2 linked regions of the Drosophila melanogaster genome follow. The protein of the gene in region 1 purifies or fractionates together with the protein of each later gene. This does not show direct contact. Each region holds a gene or a part of one and is shown in the gene's direction. Other genes may lie near its edges.

Region 1 (9,935 bases):
GTGTGGCAATAAATACGCGGTGTATTTATGTAGTTGTATTCCTTTAATTAATTGTAAGACACGAGTGTTCGGTTCGTCTCGGTGTTGCAACATGTGTGTGTGAGACGGCGATGCTTGTTTATATACATTCGATTTATACAACAACTTGCCAATTTAGTTAGTTGTCCTATTCGTGTTCGTAGAAGAATTCATTGTCGAGCAAGCCACTGTATTAAACGATGTTCATGTCCATGTCCATCTCCATGTCCACCAGGAATCGCGTCTGCTCGTCTAAATCTATTCCAATTAAATCATAAAAGGTACATACATACGCGTGTAACACCCAACTACTTAAAATTGAAAATTGAACCACAGAACGTAATGCACTTTCCAATCAAATGTACATGTTATTTTTCAACATTAGCTAGGTATTTGATACGCATGCATTCAAAATCGTCCACGCCAGGGTACGAATGTAAGGTGTAGACTTCTGGCGCAGTACTTTTTAAATGCTTGATATCCTTAAGAACTTATTCACGCCTGTTTGTCAATGTGAATCTAAAATATCATGGCGGGTTGTCAACGGATTTATTGTATTCGATTCTTAAGTTGCTATGTCTAAGGAAGAAATCAAACCACTTCGAACTGTGTAATAATAAAATATTCAGACAATTGTATGTGCTTCGTTGTGTCGCTGATTTCAAAGTAAGTAAATACGGGTAATGTATGACCTCGTGCTTTTAATTTATATATTAAAGAACTACAAAATGCATTACATTTAGTTCATTAGATAAACAGCTTCTTGTTCGGTTGCCCAACTACTTTTTATTCAACATTATAGTTGTATGTACAAAAAGTTAGAATAATATATTTTCGAATTTTACGTACTATCAAATATTTCGCATCAAAAGTTAAAGTGAGTCTTCTTAAATTTTCCCGCCCTGCTTGAAATTCACAGGGAATCGTATTTAGCAGTATTTGTCATTCGCAGCGATACGCCGACACACCCTACCGATTGCAATACACGTCAACTTGTATAAATAAATAAAAGCCAGCCAAATAACAAAATCGATCATTGTGAGACTGAGAAAATGGGTGAACAAGGCGAGGAGACGGGTCAGAAGCTTACGGAGCGCTCCACCAAGGAAGCCTACTTCGAAAGCCTCGCCGAGTGGGCCAAACAGGCGACGCTGGCCCAGAATGCGATGCTCATGTTTCCCTACTACCTGATGGCCAACTACCCGACCATGTTCCCGGGACTGCCTTCTTCCGCTGCTCTCCAAGCAGCCGCCATGGGACAACCCCAAGCACTGGTTCAGGGCTCGGCTGCTGCGCCGGGAGAACCAGCTGCAGAGCCTCGTTTGCCTGCGCCAAACTTCAGCGGCCTGCGGATATTGGGCGAGGCGGCCCAGCTGGATATCATACAGCGTCTTGGCGGCTACGAGTACGTTCTGTCACCTTTTTGGAAGCGCGCCGTGGCGGAGACCATCGATATGTTCATCCTTTTCATTGTGAAAATCATCATTACCTTCGGGGTGGTCAACCTGTTCAACATAGAGTTCGATGAGGACGTGATTCGGCGCACCCTGGACCAAGAAGACCTCTTTTCGAACTTCTTTGACACATCACTAGATTTTATTTCGATGTCCACCGACCTCCTGCTAATCGAAATGCTGACCAAGTTCATCGTTTGCTGCTACGAAGCGCTGTGGACATACCTATACCAAGGGGCTACGCCGGGCAAGTCGCTGATGAAGATACGCATATACTATGTGGAAGCAGTGATGCCGCTTCAGGGGCCGCCCCTTCCACAGTTCGTCCTCCAGCCGCAGAGGGAGCCGATGAGGGCTCTGCTTTATCCGCCACAGACTCCCTCGCTGATGCGCTCCTTCGCCCGCGCGCTGATCAAGAACCTGGGGATGACCCTGCTCTTCCCCATTTGCGTGTTGATGGTCTTCTTCAAGAACAATCGCACCGCCTACGACGTCCTAACCAAAACGATTGTGGTGGAGAGCAATTCCATTGCCGTGTTCCGCACCCAAGGGCAAGCGCAGCGCAATAATCGCTGAGGACGGCACTTAAACCAGCCAAAGTGTGTAGGAATGGCGCACTCCTATGCACTTCCTATGCACATATAAATAGACTTGTTAATGATAAATTTAATGTCGTTATGTACTGCTGTCGTGTGAAATAAAATAAAATATCACATGAATACCTCAGAATCTGCACGATAATCAAACATAACCAGTAATCCCAATGATCAGTAGAGCTTCCGATATTCCTGTAGAGCTACTCTTCACTGGTACTAGAAACTGAATGATAATGAAGTTCTGATACTGAAATGGTGTGCAGGCGGTGATGTTTCGTTTATTGGCTCAAAGCTTTAGTTTCGTTTATTGGCTCACTTCACATTGACGTTCTTCAGGGTTTGGGCCACCACGTTGCCCTTGCCAGGAACATGGAGAGCGGCGCCCTTGTAGCAGGCAACCAGTTCGCCGTTGGTCTTCAGATCCGGGGCGCACGACTCAAAGATCTTCTTCTTGGGGTTGAGCTGGGCGTCTGGCTGGCGCGGATAGCCCTCGCAGTGAACCAGGTCGCCGGGAACAGCTCCGGCGGGCGGACTGAGCACTTCCACTTTTTCCGGTGTAGATGCGCACATGACCATAGCCTCCGAGGTGACGCCGCGCATTTTGGCCGGCTTCAGGTTACACATGACCACTACCAGACGGTTCTGCATCTCTTCCAGGGGCACGAACTTCACCAGACCGGACACCACGGTGCGTGGAGCCGCCTCGCCGCAGTCGATCTTCTCCAGATACAAGCTGTCGGCGTCGGGATGGCGACCCACCTCCACAATCTTGCCCACGCGTAAATCCAGGCGACCGACGTCGACGGGAGCCTCCGGAGCGGCGGCGGGCTTCTCGGCGGCCGGTTTCTTCTCCTTGGACTTCTTTTCCTTGGGCTCCTTGGCCGGCTTAGGAGCCGGGGCAGCGGGTGCAGCGGTAGCAGGTCCAGCCTCTGCCGGCATAACTACTGGGGCCGCACTGGTGCAGAAACCCCGGGCTCCAGGCACCGGAATCTGTTTCTTGCCATTTCGCAGCTCCAGCTGCACCAGCTGGGCCAAAGCCGCCTCAACTTCCTTGGCCAGTGCAGCGTTCTCCTTGATCAGCTCCTGCTTCTGGCGCTCCACAAGTTGCTGCTGGATGCCGGAAATCTGGGGGGCAGTAGGTTATCGAGTGTTCGCAGGCGCTGGCAGGCGGAAATACTTGCCTCGGCTTCAATGGAGTTGATCAGCGCCTCGGCGCGCTCGTTGTTGCTTGCAATCTGCTGCAGATCGGCCATTGTTCTTTTGTTTCTCGCGAATTTTGAGCAATTCTGGCCGTAATTTTTACATGCGGATCCCACAGTCGTGGCAGCTCTACGCAGCATTGCAGTGCTTCTTCTTGCCACGCACAGTGGCGTCGCGCAGCGTTGGACAGGTAGTTCGTTGGCGGAGAAGCGAGAGTATTTTTACATCAGCCCTGCCAGGGTCACTCTAATCGGTGCAACGCAAAAACGGCTGGCAGTTTTGAGCGAAATTTGTTAAAAAATAAACAATAAAAAGTCGCGTGGGCATCGGCGTGCGGCAGATGGATTACGTGTATTGCGGCACCGACCCCATCGGGGCCTCCGAAGACATACTAAGTGGGTCAAGGGGTCGCTTTGGGGCCAACGCTCACCCACACGCACACACACACGCAAGCCAGCTAAAGCTTTCTCCTTTGTTTTCTGTTTACTTTTTGAAAAGGTGTTTATGACGCGGGATCTGCGCCGGGAAACGGGCACTTTTCGCCCAGCTTCAATGGATTCAACATCGGCACCACCGATCCGGAATATGTGGAGCTTGTGCCCGTGCTTGCCGACGGCGGGGAGCACTTCGGCGTTTCCAGCGTGGCGTTCGACGACTACGAAGAGCTGCTGTGGATGGGCAACCAGGGCGTGAGTTCCTCGTCCAGCCTGCCAGGCTTACTAATCCTGAATCTTCGCTCCTTCCCGCAGGGCCACGTCACATCGTACTACACAAACTCCATGCAGAAGTACACATCCTTTCAGGTCCACGCCACCGACATTGTGCGCGACATCTCCACCCTGGACTCCGGAGTGCTGGCGCTCACGCAGACCTCGCTGCGTCATCAGATCCGCAGGGGTCTGCCCAAGTTTACCTTCAAGTAAGCCACCGCGCTGGCACAAAGATTCCCCGAAAGTGAGGTTTCAATTTCTTGCAGATCGAACAACATGAAGGAGATGGTGAGCATGCTGCAGCTATCACCGCATCGTCTGGTCATGGCCGGACTGCAGGACGAGCTTATCGACTTCGACCTGCGCACGCTCAAGGAAACCCGCATAGAGCATGTGGGTGCCGGCGGATGCACGGTGCTACGCAAGAATTCACGTTATCTGTTTGCCGGCGACCAGCTGGGAACGGTAACGTTGCGCGACCTGAACAGCCTGAGTGTTCAGCACACAATCAAGACGCACACCAACATCCTTTCGGACTTCAGTGTCCAGGGAAATCTGCTAATCTCTTGCGGCTACAGCGGAAGGCAAAATAACCTGGCCATCGACCGCTTCCTAATGGTCTACGATCTGCGCATGCTGCGCCTGATCGCGCCCATTCAAGTGATGATTGATCCGCAGATGTTGAAGTTCCTGCCATCGCTGACATCCCAACTGGCCGTCGTGTCCAGCTACGGCCAGGTTCAGCTGGTGGACACTGTGGAGCTCAGCGAGCCGCGAGTATCCATGTACCAGATCAACACCAACGGCAGCCAGTGCCTCAGCTTCGACATTAGCTCCTCTTCACAGGCCATGGCATTTGGGGACCAGTCGGGCCACATCAACATGATTGCCGCTGTACAAACGCCTCAGCCGCAGTTCAATCTCTACTCGCGAAGCACAGAGTTTGCGGACGTGGTGCCACAGCTGCCGATGGTCTCCATTACGGACACCAACTTTCCGCTATCGTCGGTCATGCTACCGCACTTGACGACGGGCACACAATGGTTCTCAGATTGGCCGGAGGAACTGCTGCGCTACCGCTACCACAGGCCCAAGACCATTGATCCCGAAGTGCTGAGCAACATGAAAATGCAGGGACCGATTGGATACTCGCCAAACCCACGCACCGCCCGTCGTAATCAAATTCCGTACGTGATTGAGCAGGGCGGCGTGTGCAGTCCGAACGGAAATGGAACTGCGGCGGCGACCAAGGCGGAGAACGGTGTGAAAATCATTCCACGGCGGTATCGCAAAGTCGAGCTGAAGTACACGAAGCTGGGCACCCAGGACTTTGACTTTGACCAGCATAATCAAACATGTTTCGCGGGGCTGGAGGCAACGCTACCGAACTCCTACTGCAATGCTATGCTACAGATTTTGTATTTCACCGACGCGCTTCGCGTGAAGCTGCTGGAGCATTCGTGCATCAAGGAGTTTTGCCTGTCCTGCGAACTAGGGTTCCTCTTCAACATGCTGGATAAAAGTACCGGTTAGTTTGCTTGTGTAACTTAACTATCCTTAGTTTAAGTATTTATGTGTGCTCCTTTCAGCTTCTTCACCTTGCCAGGCCAGCAATTTCCTGCGATCTTTCCGCACTGTGCCAGAGGCCTCGGCACTGGGATTGATTCTCACCGACCGCTCATCGAACGTCAATCTAATATCGCTGATACAGGCAAGTAATACCATGGTTTCCTAAGCAGATATTTAATTTATGCACACTCTCAGAACTGGAACCGATTCATTTTGCATCAAATGCATTACGAAATATTCGATTCTAGCAAGAACGCATCCACCTACAGCGGATCTGTGCAAACATCAACGAACGGTAACCACAGCCGAGTTTATCCTTTACAAATAAGTGAAACTTCGATTTATTTTGCAGCGGAAAACGCGGGCTCTTCAGAAACAAGTGGCTCCTCGGACCTTTACGATTCCATAAGTGGTGGGCAGGTGAATTAATGGTTTAACTAACACTCTAATCATATGTACGTATATGAACAGATGAGAACTCCAAGGAGGACGATCGGGAACGCAGTAAGATCAACGCAGAAACTGACATCAGTAAGATCTTTGGGACCAAGCAAATCTGTATAAACCGCTGCATCAAATGCCAAGAAGAGAAGATAAAGGAAAGCATTCTACTTGCCTGCAATTTGTCGTATCCCAACCACATCAAAGATAGTGATCAGTATTTCAACTTTGGCACCATTTTGAAGCGATCTCTCAGCTCCGAGAAGAGTATTCAGGCCTTCTGCGAGAGATGTAAGAAGTTTTCGCCAACCAATCAGAGCGTGAAGGTCGGGAGCTAACTTTATAGTGAACCAAGCAAGAAGTTACATATGTAATGCATCTGAATTTCAGGTGACTTCGCTTCCGCAAATTCTGTCCATTAACTGTGGCCTCAACAACGAAAAAGACATTACCTTCCTGAAGCGCCAGCTCAATCGCTGCAGCGAAAAGACGACTGTTGATGCGGCCGCTTCCTTGAGCACAAGCAAGCCGTGTCGATATGGAGCCAACTGTTCGCGAAGTGACTGCCATTTCATGCATCCGGATCGGTGAGTTACGACGAATCGAAACTGAATCAGTCGTCTTATGCATATTGTTGTACCTACTGTGCAGAAAATCTCCATCGCACACAAGCCAACCGAATGCTGTCAACAATTCTCCCAATGGACGCCAAAAGTCCTGGTTTCCCCTTACATTTACTATGGGCATCAATGACCAAGGTGAGGTGCAGGTGCAAACTCAATCAGATGCAAGCAGTGGCAAATCGGAACAGGAGGAGGAAACGGAAAAGCCACCAACAAAGGGCTTGGACAACAATCGGATGTACGCGCTGCATGCCGTGGTGTGCCAAGTCGATGATGGTACCCAAAAGAACTTGGTATCGTTGATAAATGTGCAGCGGCCATACCACACCATGAAACTGGCTGAATCTGCAGATGACCCTCAGAGTCAATGGTATATTTTTAATGATTTTAGGTAAGTTAGATCTCTATTGTGAATGGCCTTCGATTAATATTGCTCATATATCGCTCAACAGCATATCGCCCGTTTCGCCACAAGAATCGGTATGGTTCACATTGGATTGGAAAGTTCCTTGCATACTCTTCTACAGACACGTAGAGGATGACTCTGAGTCTGCTAGTACTACTAGCTCGACCGTCACGGAAAGTGAAGAAACCATTCCATCAGAGAGCAGCAGCGGCTCGCCAACAAATCTATCCAACCCTTTTCTAGAGGTTAATAGTTTAATATAGCATTGAGTCTGCTGAATGCTAATCTGAATCTTAATCCTACCAGGAAATTGTGAGTCCTATGCTAGGCAACTTAAGTGCAGACGCCACGCTGCAGCCCCTGCAGTCAGATGAAATGCCGCAGTCGGGTGATCTGGTCGCAATGGATGCCGAGTTCGTTACCCTAAATCCAGAGGAAAATGAGATTCGCCCGGATGGCAAAACGGCGACCATTAAGCCATGCCACATGAGTGTGGCCCGGATTTCATGTATACGAGGGTAATTCATTAACTGAAACTTAAAAATATTCATCTCGATAAGCACGGGTATGAATTCTTTACAGACAAGGCCCGGCTGAAGGAGTTCCATTCATGGACGATTACATATCCACCCAGGAGAAGGTCGTGGACTACCTAACTCAGTTCTCGGGAATCAAGCCTGGCGACTTGGACGCTAACTTCAGCAAAAAGCGACTGACTGCCTTGAAGTACTCATACCAGAAATTAAAATACCTCGTTGACGTAGGAGTAATATTTGTCGGACATGGTCTGAAGAACGACTTTAGGTGGGATGCCCTGCTTTGTAAGGAACCAATAGACCACTAAACTTCCATGTGATTGCAGGGTCATAAACATCTATGTACCGTCGGAGCAGATAATAGATACGGTGCACCTGTTTCACATGCCACATCATCGCATGGTTTCCCTAAGATTTCTAGCCTGGCATTTCTTGGGTTTGTATAGGGGTTTTCTTCGATTTGGAATTGTATCTAATTGGGTTTTCCTAATGCCAAAGGTACTAAGATTCAGTCCGAGACGCACGACTCCATCGAAGATGCACGGACCACTCTGCAGCTCTACAAGCACTATTTGAAGCTGCAGGAGGAGAAGAAGTTTGCCAACGCTCTCAAGAATCTTTACGAACGCGGAAAGCAGCTGCAGTGGAAGGTTCCAGAGGACTGATTCGTCGCCAAACCCGATGCCAATTCGACGAAACTCATAATCAACGTTATCGTCAGTACAAACGCTACACCGATCTGAAAAAATCCCGGCTTCTCCCAATTTTATTATGTTTTAATGCGTTGCTATTTGCTACGAAGCTCCTGGTATTTCATGTTGTATTTGTCTATCTTTATAACAAAATCAAAACAAAGCATAAAAGTTGTATTTCTTATCAGTGATGCTTTATTGATCGTTGATGCGAATCTAAGTTGCTTATCAAATCCACAATCGGGCTAATAGGCAAAAGCGGGCAACAGATGTGTTCAGGGATCGTGCACGTCAATCGATTCAATTCCTTTGAAATTCTCATTCGCCCTCCCCTATCACCAGCGGCGTTTGTGAATTTTTGAGATGCTGTCGCCAATTTGATGAATAACCTGATGTTGGACTACTGCGCACCTACTTATAAATACCACGACGAGCAAGTCAAGCCAGTTAGTTGTTAGAGCTCACCATTCACTCAGGGAACATAGATGACAATGCATTTGCTTGGACTTCTCGTGCCGATCGCTTGCGCTGTTTTGTGCGTTGGTGAAAAATCCCTTTACCATGGTCTCGCCCAAACGGAGACTAATCGACGATTCCATTGCTCCCTCAGCTGCCGATCTCCAGCGGACATACGACGGACATGATGGGCCTCACGTTTTCGGAACACCCGGCAATCAAGTCTACATTCGGGGGCAGAACGATGGCGTATACAAGGTGCCAGGAGTAGGTGGTCAGTTCCATCACGCATCGTCGCCAGCAGATCACGTCTATACGGATGAGCAGGGGATCACGTATGTGCACAAAAAAGACGCTGGAGGACCAGGTGGCTAAGAATCATGGTTCGAGGCAGTGCATAAATCTTATTATGGATACTATTTTAAGGAACACATACGCTTAGAGGACCAGGTCTAGCTGCTGTACAGCCCGCCTACTCCACTGTGCAGCCTGCGGGACTTCGCAATCCCCAGTTTCATGTGGAGCGAAGTGGTCGCACTGTGGATGTTGGTTCTGGAGGATTTGTCGTCCAAAGGAGCAGACGTAGTCCTCAGTTCCATGTGGAGCGTCCTGGTCGCACTGTGGATGTGGGTTCCGGAGGATTTTTTGTCCAAAGGGGCAGGCGTAGTCCCCAGTTTCCTGTGGAGCGACCTTGGCAAAGGGCTTTGAAGGACTGATTGTTGAAAGGGACAGCCGCAGCATCAAAGATGGCCGCGTCCAGGGAGAAAACTTCGTGGCTCGTGACGATCAAGCAGGAATTTGGGATGATAGTGTGTCGGTGTGGAAGCGTCCGGATGGACGAACTGTCTCGGTGGGCAATGACGGAAGTGTTATTGTTTCTGGACATGGGCACACGCTGCAAGTGAGTACATTGTTTAATTTATCAAGTTTCGCTTATGAATATACTTATATATATTTTTTATTTGCAGTACTAATAAATAATGGGAAGCAGCCTTTTAATTTACAGAGATTAGGTAGCTAAAATTCCAATGATATTAAATGAACAAGATTCACAAAAACATTGAACAATTTTTCTTTTTGAACATGTGGAAATTCTAGAAAACAGCAATACAGCACATAATGAAAATTAAGTAATTGCGATAATCGCAACCATTTTTGAATAAGCAATGGACTGGCATGATTTAAATACATATACTTTTTAATATACTTTTTTTTAACAAAACATCATTTCCTT
Region 2 (5,935 bases), on another chromosome or scaffold:
TATCTTTTTTGTATCATGGCGACTTCAGCGTGCCGAACTTCACTATTTTCTTAACAAAATTAATAGTTCAGAAATTTAGCTTAAACCATAGAATTATATGGGGATTCAATCAACTCTAATCTGGATAACCGTCCCATTGTTACTTATGAGGTTCAAATTTAATATATATTTATTTGTCTTTATCTTGCACTTAATGGGAACCAACATCAGGCTTACATATTATGCACTCACCCTGTCGTTGTAACTGTGTTGAAGGCCTTTCCACGTTGGTTAACGACGTACTGTAGGAGATTATATGTATAAAGTTTAACTGCCTTAGAAGCCGTTTTCATCCTTGCCGAGATAACGAGAAGCCTCGCCTACTGCTCGCCATTCCTTCTCATACTCCTAACTTGGAGCAGGCTGAGATCCTGCTGTTGCAATGATATTTTTTCCCCCACACGCAGGAACGCTCAGAACGGGTGCAACTGACTTTAGGTCTCGTTACGAAGTCTGCGTTTTTGGTTTACATTTTGAAATGACCCTTACGCTAAATTAAAAGCATTATAAGCGATGCGTTAAGCGCCCGATCTGGGAACAGTGCCAAAATTTCAGATGTACTCACTGCCTCGAAACGTGGTAAAGATTAAGATCGCTCGAGCTTCGCTGTTATACGATTAAGGTATCCGAAAATCCTTCAGAACATGGGCATCAGCGTTATGGGCGTCATATCGTTTTCAGACAAATCACATGCACCATTGGCGATTTTCGTTTCCAATATCTGGGCGTTCATACGTACGAACAGACAGTTATACAAAAGACAAAAGGGGTGCGTATACATCGCAGCAAATTTTTGACACATACCCCTCACTTCATGACTTATGTAAAAAGACCAAAATAATCACAAACCAGGTATTCATTTTGGATCAAACCAGACAAACGTGGTTATGAAAACGGTTATGAAAATAATGTAACCATATTAAAATTTATATATATATATATAAATATATATATCCACTACTATATATATATATATATATATATATTTAAATATATACATTTGTATTTATATATTTATTCAAAATAAACTAATACATCGTTTACTTACACTTTACTATTTCTACTGTTATGTTATAATACTGAAAAACTTGAACTTGAAATGAAAATCGACTGCTTGTTAAATATAAAATTATTAACAATTCCGAAAGACTAAGTTTCAATACAAAGCTAACAACAAGGTAGGAATCTAGCTTTGGCAGTGATAATAATTAAATAATAATATTAAAGCAAGAATTCCCGTTACTCAACTTAAAGAAAAAAATCAACACATAGTTAGTGGTCGTGGAAACATCGTCTGCGTCTATATCTATAGAATCAGCATGCTTTAAGTTCTAGTTCTTATAGTTCCTGAAAGCGAGACGTTCTTACAGACAGACGGATTGGTTGATTTAAAGATTGACACTTATGCATTCTCTAAATCCCGGTGCTTGATGTTGCAATGTGAAGACAAGGGTGATGTATCTGTCAACTAGTAGTAGTGGAGCTAGTGTATAAGAAGCAAAAGTGGCAAGAATACCCCTGTGCTAAATTAAATTGGAAGCTTGACATATCGCAAGACGGCCACGCTGGCCTTGCTCTATCTTATGTTGGCGTTGGTATTTTAAGATATCTCGGTGGTACGTGTAAGTTGAATATTTTTACGAAATTCAATTTAAAAAATTTTTTTAGGATGTGCAGTTATAGTGGCTTGATTTTATTAAGATTACCAGAAGAATTAACTAAACAATCTTTAAAATAAAACACACCCGCCCAGTGTGATAAAGTCACACAAATCAAAAATTTGTACATACATCACTGTGTGTCTGTATGCGTCCAGATACTTACGAATTTTTTTTACCTTTTAGATCTATATTAGTTCTATTAGTTCTATATTTCAAACATGAAAGCTCGAATCAGACATTTCAATTCTATAAACATGTTAATTTTAATGTGTGATGAGGGTGCATGTGTATTTCGCGTTCGTGTGTGACAATCAGTTTGATATTTTAGGTTAGGTTTCTGTGTTGCTTTTATATTATATTATTTTACTTTTACTATCCATTCTGTAAAGCTCTGGTAAGTTTTTTTTTATCACTAGTTCTTAACTAAGCTTTAAAATAAATCCTTTGTTGTACTGTTTGCTTTGAAAAAGACTTGAAGCTGTTTGCTTTATTTATAGAACTTGAACTGTTTGAAAAATAAACAATTGTGCACAGAATCATAAAGCCATTAGGAGTTTAACAAAAACACTGAAAATTTGATTTCATTGCCTTTCTTACAAATAAATCAACCAAAAACTTTTTTGAACTTATTGTCAGCATAACATTAAACAAGAGGCAAATAAAAATGACAGATTCAATGAAATTTGGCCCGGAATGGTTGCGCAATATGTCAGCCGAGCCTTCGGGCTCTCCCAGTACCTACAACGTTGGTAATGCAGCTCAAAACAATTCGATTGGAGGGCACAACCTGGGAAACAACACGGCGGCATCCGCTTCCCGTAATCTATTTCCAGAATACCGGTACGGACGCGAGGAAATGCTGTCCTTGTTCGATCGGAACTGCCTACTGCCGCAGATCCTGCCATCGTTCAAAAAGCTCTTCGTGGAAAAGGTTCAGTGCCCTCTTGCACTGACACCGAGCTCCGAGGAGGACATCAACCAAAACTCACTTGGCAATAACGTATGTGAAGTAATTTGACATGAGTTTTAGAACATAATTTACTTTTCTTTGAAACTAGTCTCGTCCTGCCTGGTTGCAGCGCTCGCCCAGTGGATTTGGTAGTGCCTCCCGAGGCTCTGGACGTGGTGGAACCGTTGACCGGGGACGGATGCGCGGAAAATCGGCCTATCATCCGATATACCAACGCCCAAGCGGTCTATATGATGAAAGCTTATCGGTTATATCAAAGGTAATTGCAAATACGAACTAAATAAGGAAGTACGATTAGTTGTTGATTTTTTCTGCCAGGCCGAACGCACATGGAGCGACCGCAACGGAACTGGAGATTCTGCGGCAACCACCACCTCCACTAGTGGCTCTGGTGCTCTAGATTGGAATGGAACTCCAAGCTCAAGTCCTCGAAAAGATTATTCTAATAATCATCGCAACTTGGAAAACTGGCGACGAACACGTAACGAAGATGGATCCGGTGATGGTCCATCCTCCAGCGGTTCCATGAGCGGACCCGATATTGCTGGTTGGCGGAGCGGTGTCGTCGGTGGAAGTACAAACGCAGGTTTTGGTACCAATAGCCATCGGTGGGGTCAGTCAATTACCTTTATATTATTATTTTTCATTTTTACTCCTACACATATGAGCACAATAATACATGTACTGCTATCTCTATCATGTAAATTTGACTTTCCAAAACTTTCCCCAGCCTATATAGTTGGCTATTCATTCGATACCATTCATGCTACAATCTGTTGTAAAGTTTGTGTTTCTTTAAAACGTATTCTAAAAAACCTTTTCATAAATATATTAAAATTAAGATTAAATGTTTTAGTTAATGAAGTATTTTATATGAGAATATTTAAACAAAAATGCTAATAGACCAGCTGAAATCCCTATGGTAATTTCTATGCAATGCATCAGGCCTTGTTTTTATTTCATTCCTAAAGTACATCGCTGGTAGCTTTAGTACGTTTTCAAATAATGATCTTTTTTTTTCCAGAATAGACTTGATTTATCAAAATTGAAAAATAAAAAAACGCGAGCCCATTTTAAGTGTTATGTATCAAAGTCCAACTAACTAACAGTTCAAACTATTCAAATATGGGCTTGCCTATACATAACAACGTAACCAAATATACTTTTTACACTTTGATACGCTTTACGCTTTATTAAAATGTACTTCTTCACCCGGTAATCTTCTATCGAAGTTTGGATACTATAATAAATTGTATATATAATGTATTTATAAAATTTTTGTCGTGCTTAGTGATTAAGAGTTAGTGTTCTGCCGCTATGTGGATCAGGTGTACAATCACTGACATATTTGCTTTCCTACTTGTATATCTGAATATCGCTTGCATTTCTAGTATCTAACTAAATGGGTAACAGTTTTGCAATAGCTCGACTATAGCGGTTTTCTGTTTAGTAAGTTTGCTATATTTGCTAAGAAGATGAACCAAGTTAAAATTTAAATAGTCCAAGTTATTGAACAACAGTATAGAACTTAAAAAAAAATTTTTTTTAGGAAGATCTACAAGCTGGCGTGATGAAGATCCTAGCGTCGACAATGCAGCTAGTTTACAACGCTCAATTTCAACAGTTGCGACTTTAAGTACAGATCGGACTGGAAACAATAAAGGATCTGGAATCGGAGCTGCAGAGGGAGTAGGGAGCATATCGCACCCACGGTTGTCGAGTTCTAAAATATCTCAATTATGGACTGTTAATAATGCAGCCGGTGTTGATGCCGACGAAAATCTACCCGAATGGGCAATTGAAAATCCATCGAAATTGGGTGGCAGTTTTGATGCTAGTGGAGCCTTTCATGGAGATACTGATCTAAAACCTATCAAAAGTTCGCATAATACTTTAAAAACCAAAAGCTTAGACTCCTATGACGATGTAAAAAGACCGAAAAGTAAAGACCTGTCTGATCCAGATAGTGGAAACGATATAACTCCAGAAACCTCATTAACGAAAGATACCAATACAACAGCTGTGCAAGAAGAAGTTGAAAGCAGTTTATCTCCAATAAGCTCTACAACGACAAAGGAAGTGATCCATGGAGATATTTCAGATCGGATTAAAGAGGTCGCCGATGAAGTAGAAAAACTTATAATGGATGATGATCATAAAATCTCTTCGAATCAAAGCCAACATCAAAATCATGACGGGTTTACAGCTGCACTTCCAAGAATGGCAGACATTGAGATAAACGTAAAACCGAGTGTTACAGCAGTGCATCGGCAAGCACCTTCCACCATGCCTATACAAATTACCCCTACAATTACAGATGTCGCTCCACCATCCCATGCAGTTGTGTCGTTTTCGGATCATGAGACAATGCAACACCATAACATGCACCACCTGCCACAATTTCCAATGATTCCTACACCGCATATCATCACTCCAAATCTAAACGAATTGTGGTTTTACCGGGATCCGCAGGCAAATGTTCAGGGGCCATTTAGTGCCGTTGAGATGACGGAATGGTATCGCGCTGGCTACTTTAATGAGAACCTGTTTGTACGCCGGTACTCTGATAATAGGTTTAGACCGCTGGGAGAGCTTATAAAATTTTGTCATGGTAACATGCCATTTACGCACAGTCACCTACTTCCATCTCCGATAGAACTAGAGAACATTCCTGTTGGTCAAATACCAGCCCCTCTAACGGCGTCACTTTCAATTACACCCCATAAGCCATCACCGATTCCTATCGCACTTTCTGTTGTTGAACAGCAGTTGCAGCAACAAAGAGATGAGCAACTAAAGGCAAATGTTACAGCAACAGCTGAAGCTCTACGTGCTGCAATAAAAGGAAGTTTTGGCGGAAATAGCATTGGTAATACGTCTCATTTGCTTACAATGCGGTTTCAAATGCTACAGGATCAGTACATACAGCACCAGGAATACCAAATACTAGCTGAGCTATCCAAAAATGAATGCTTTCAACGTCTTTCGGCTGTCGAGCAAGAAACAGTTGTTCGTCGGAAAGTTCAATTGCTGGGTCTTCCTGAGTATTTGATCAGCTTAAACGGATTAAGCAATTCTTTGTCCGTACTGAACCCCGTTGCCGGTAGACAGTTGTACAGGGCAGTGGTTGAGCACGCCAAGAAGGATCAACAACATATTTTTGCAAACACCGAGCAGCAACGTTCAGTGGGAAATTTACTGGATGCTAATAATTTCATTCTAAATGCCCAAATAATGATTCAGCAATCGCAGCAAGAGGTAGGTC

What was found. The genes of interacting proteins can lie anywhere in the genome.
Region 2: the proteins of PAN2 (region 1) and Gyf purify together in Drosophila melanogaster (affinity purification with western blotting, with the first as the bait; one study listed by BioGRID). This does not show direct contact.

Annotation. Positions count from the first base shown.
Region 1 is NT_033778.4:8,924,692-8,934,626, forward strand, and holds PAN2 (Poly(A)-binding protein-dependent poly(A) ribonuclease 2), read left to right. Parts: upstream 1-3,477; 5' UTR 3,478-3,608; coding exon 3,609-3,663; intron 3,664-3,766; coding exon 3,767-3,957; intron 3,958-4,017; coding exon 4,018-4,187; intron 4,188-4,244; coding exon 4,245-5,506; intron 5,507-5,567; coding exon 5,568-5,689; intron 5,690-5,742; coding exon 5,743-5,842; intron 5,843-5,899; coding exon 5,900-5,959; intron 5,960-6,018; coding exon 6,019-6,314; intron 6,315-6,378; coding exon 6,379-6,575; intron 6,576-6,639; coding exon 6,640-7,002; intron 7,003-7,063; coding exon 7,064-7,262; intron 7,263-7,323; coding exon 7,324-7,535; intron 7,536-7,599; coding exon 7,600-7,821; intron 7,822-7,879; coding exon 7,880-7,989; intron 7,990-8,051; coding exon 8,052-8,218; 3' UTR 8,219-8,412; downstream 8,413-9,935. Other genes in the region: CG8243 (uncharacterized protein), read left to right, coding at 1-12; CG8237 (uncharacterized protein), read left to right, coding at 1,071-2,048; AIMP1 (aaRS-interacting multifunctional protein 1), read right to left, coding at 2,381-3,193, 3,250-3,408; FANCI (fanconi anemia complementation group I), read right to left, coding at 9,926-9,935. UniProt on the Drosophila melanogaster protein: Catalytic subunit of the poly(A)-nuclease (PAN) deadenylation complex, one of two cytoplasmic mRNA deadenylases involved in general and miRNA-mediated mRNA turnover.
Region 2 is NC_004353.4:862,696-868,630, reverse strand, and holds the start of Gyf (gigyf), read left to right. Parts: upstream 1-1,605; 5' UTR 1,606-1,655; exon of another isoform or gene 1,656-1,661; intron 1,662-2,336; 5' UTR 2,337-2,364; coding exon 2,365-2,700; intron 2,701-2,758; coding exon 2,759-2,929; intron 2,930-2,988; coding exon 2,989-3,283; intron 3,284-4,219; coding exon 4,220-5,935.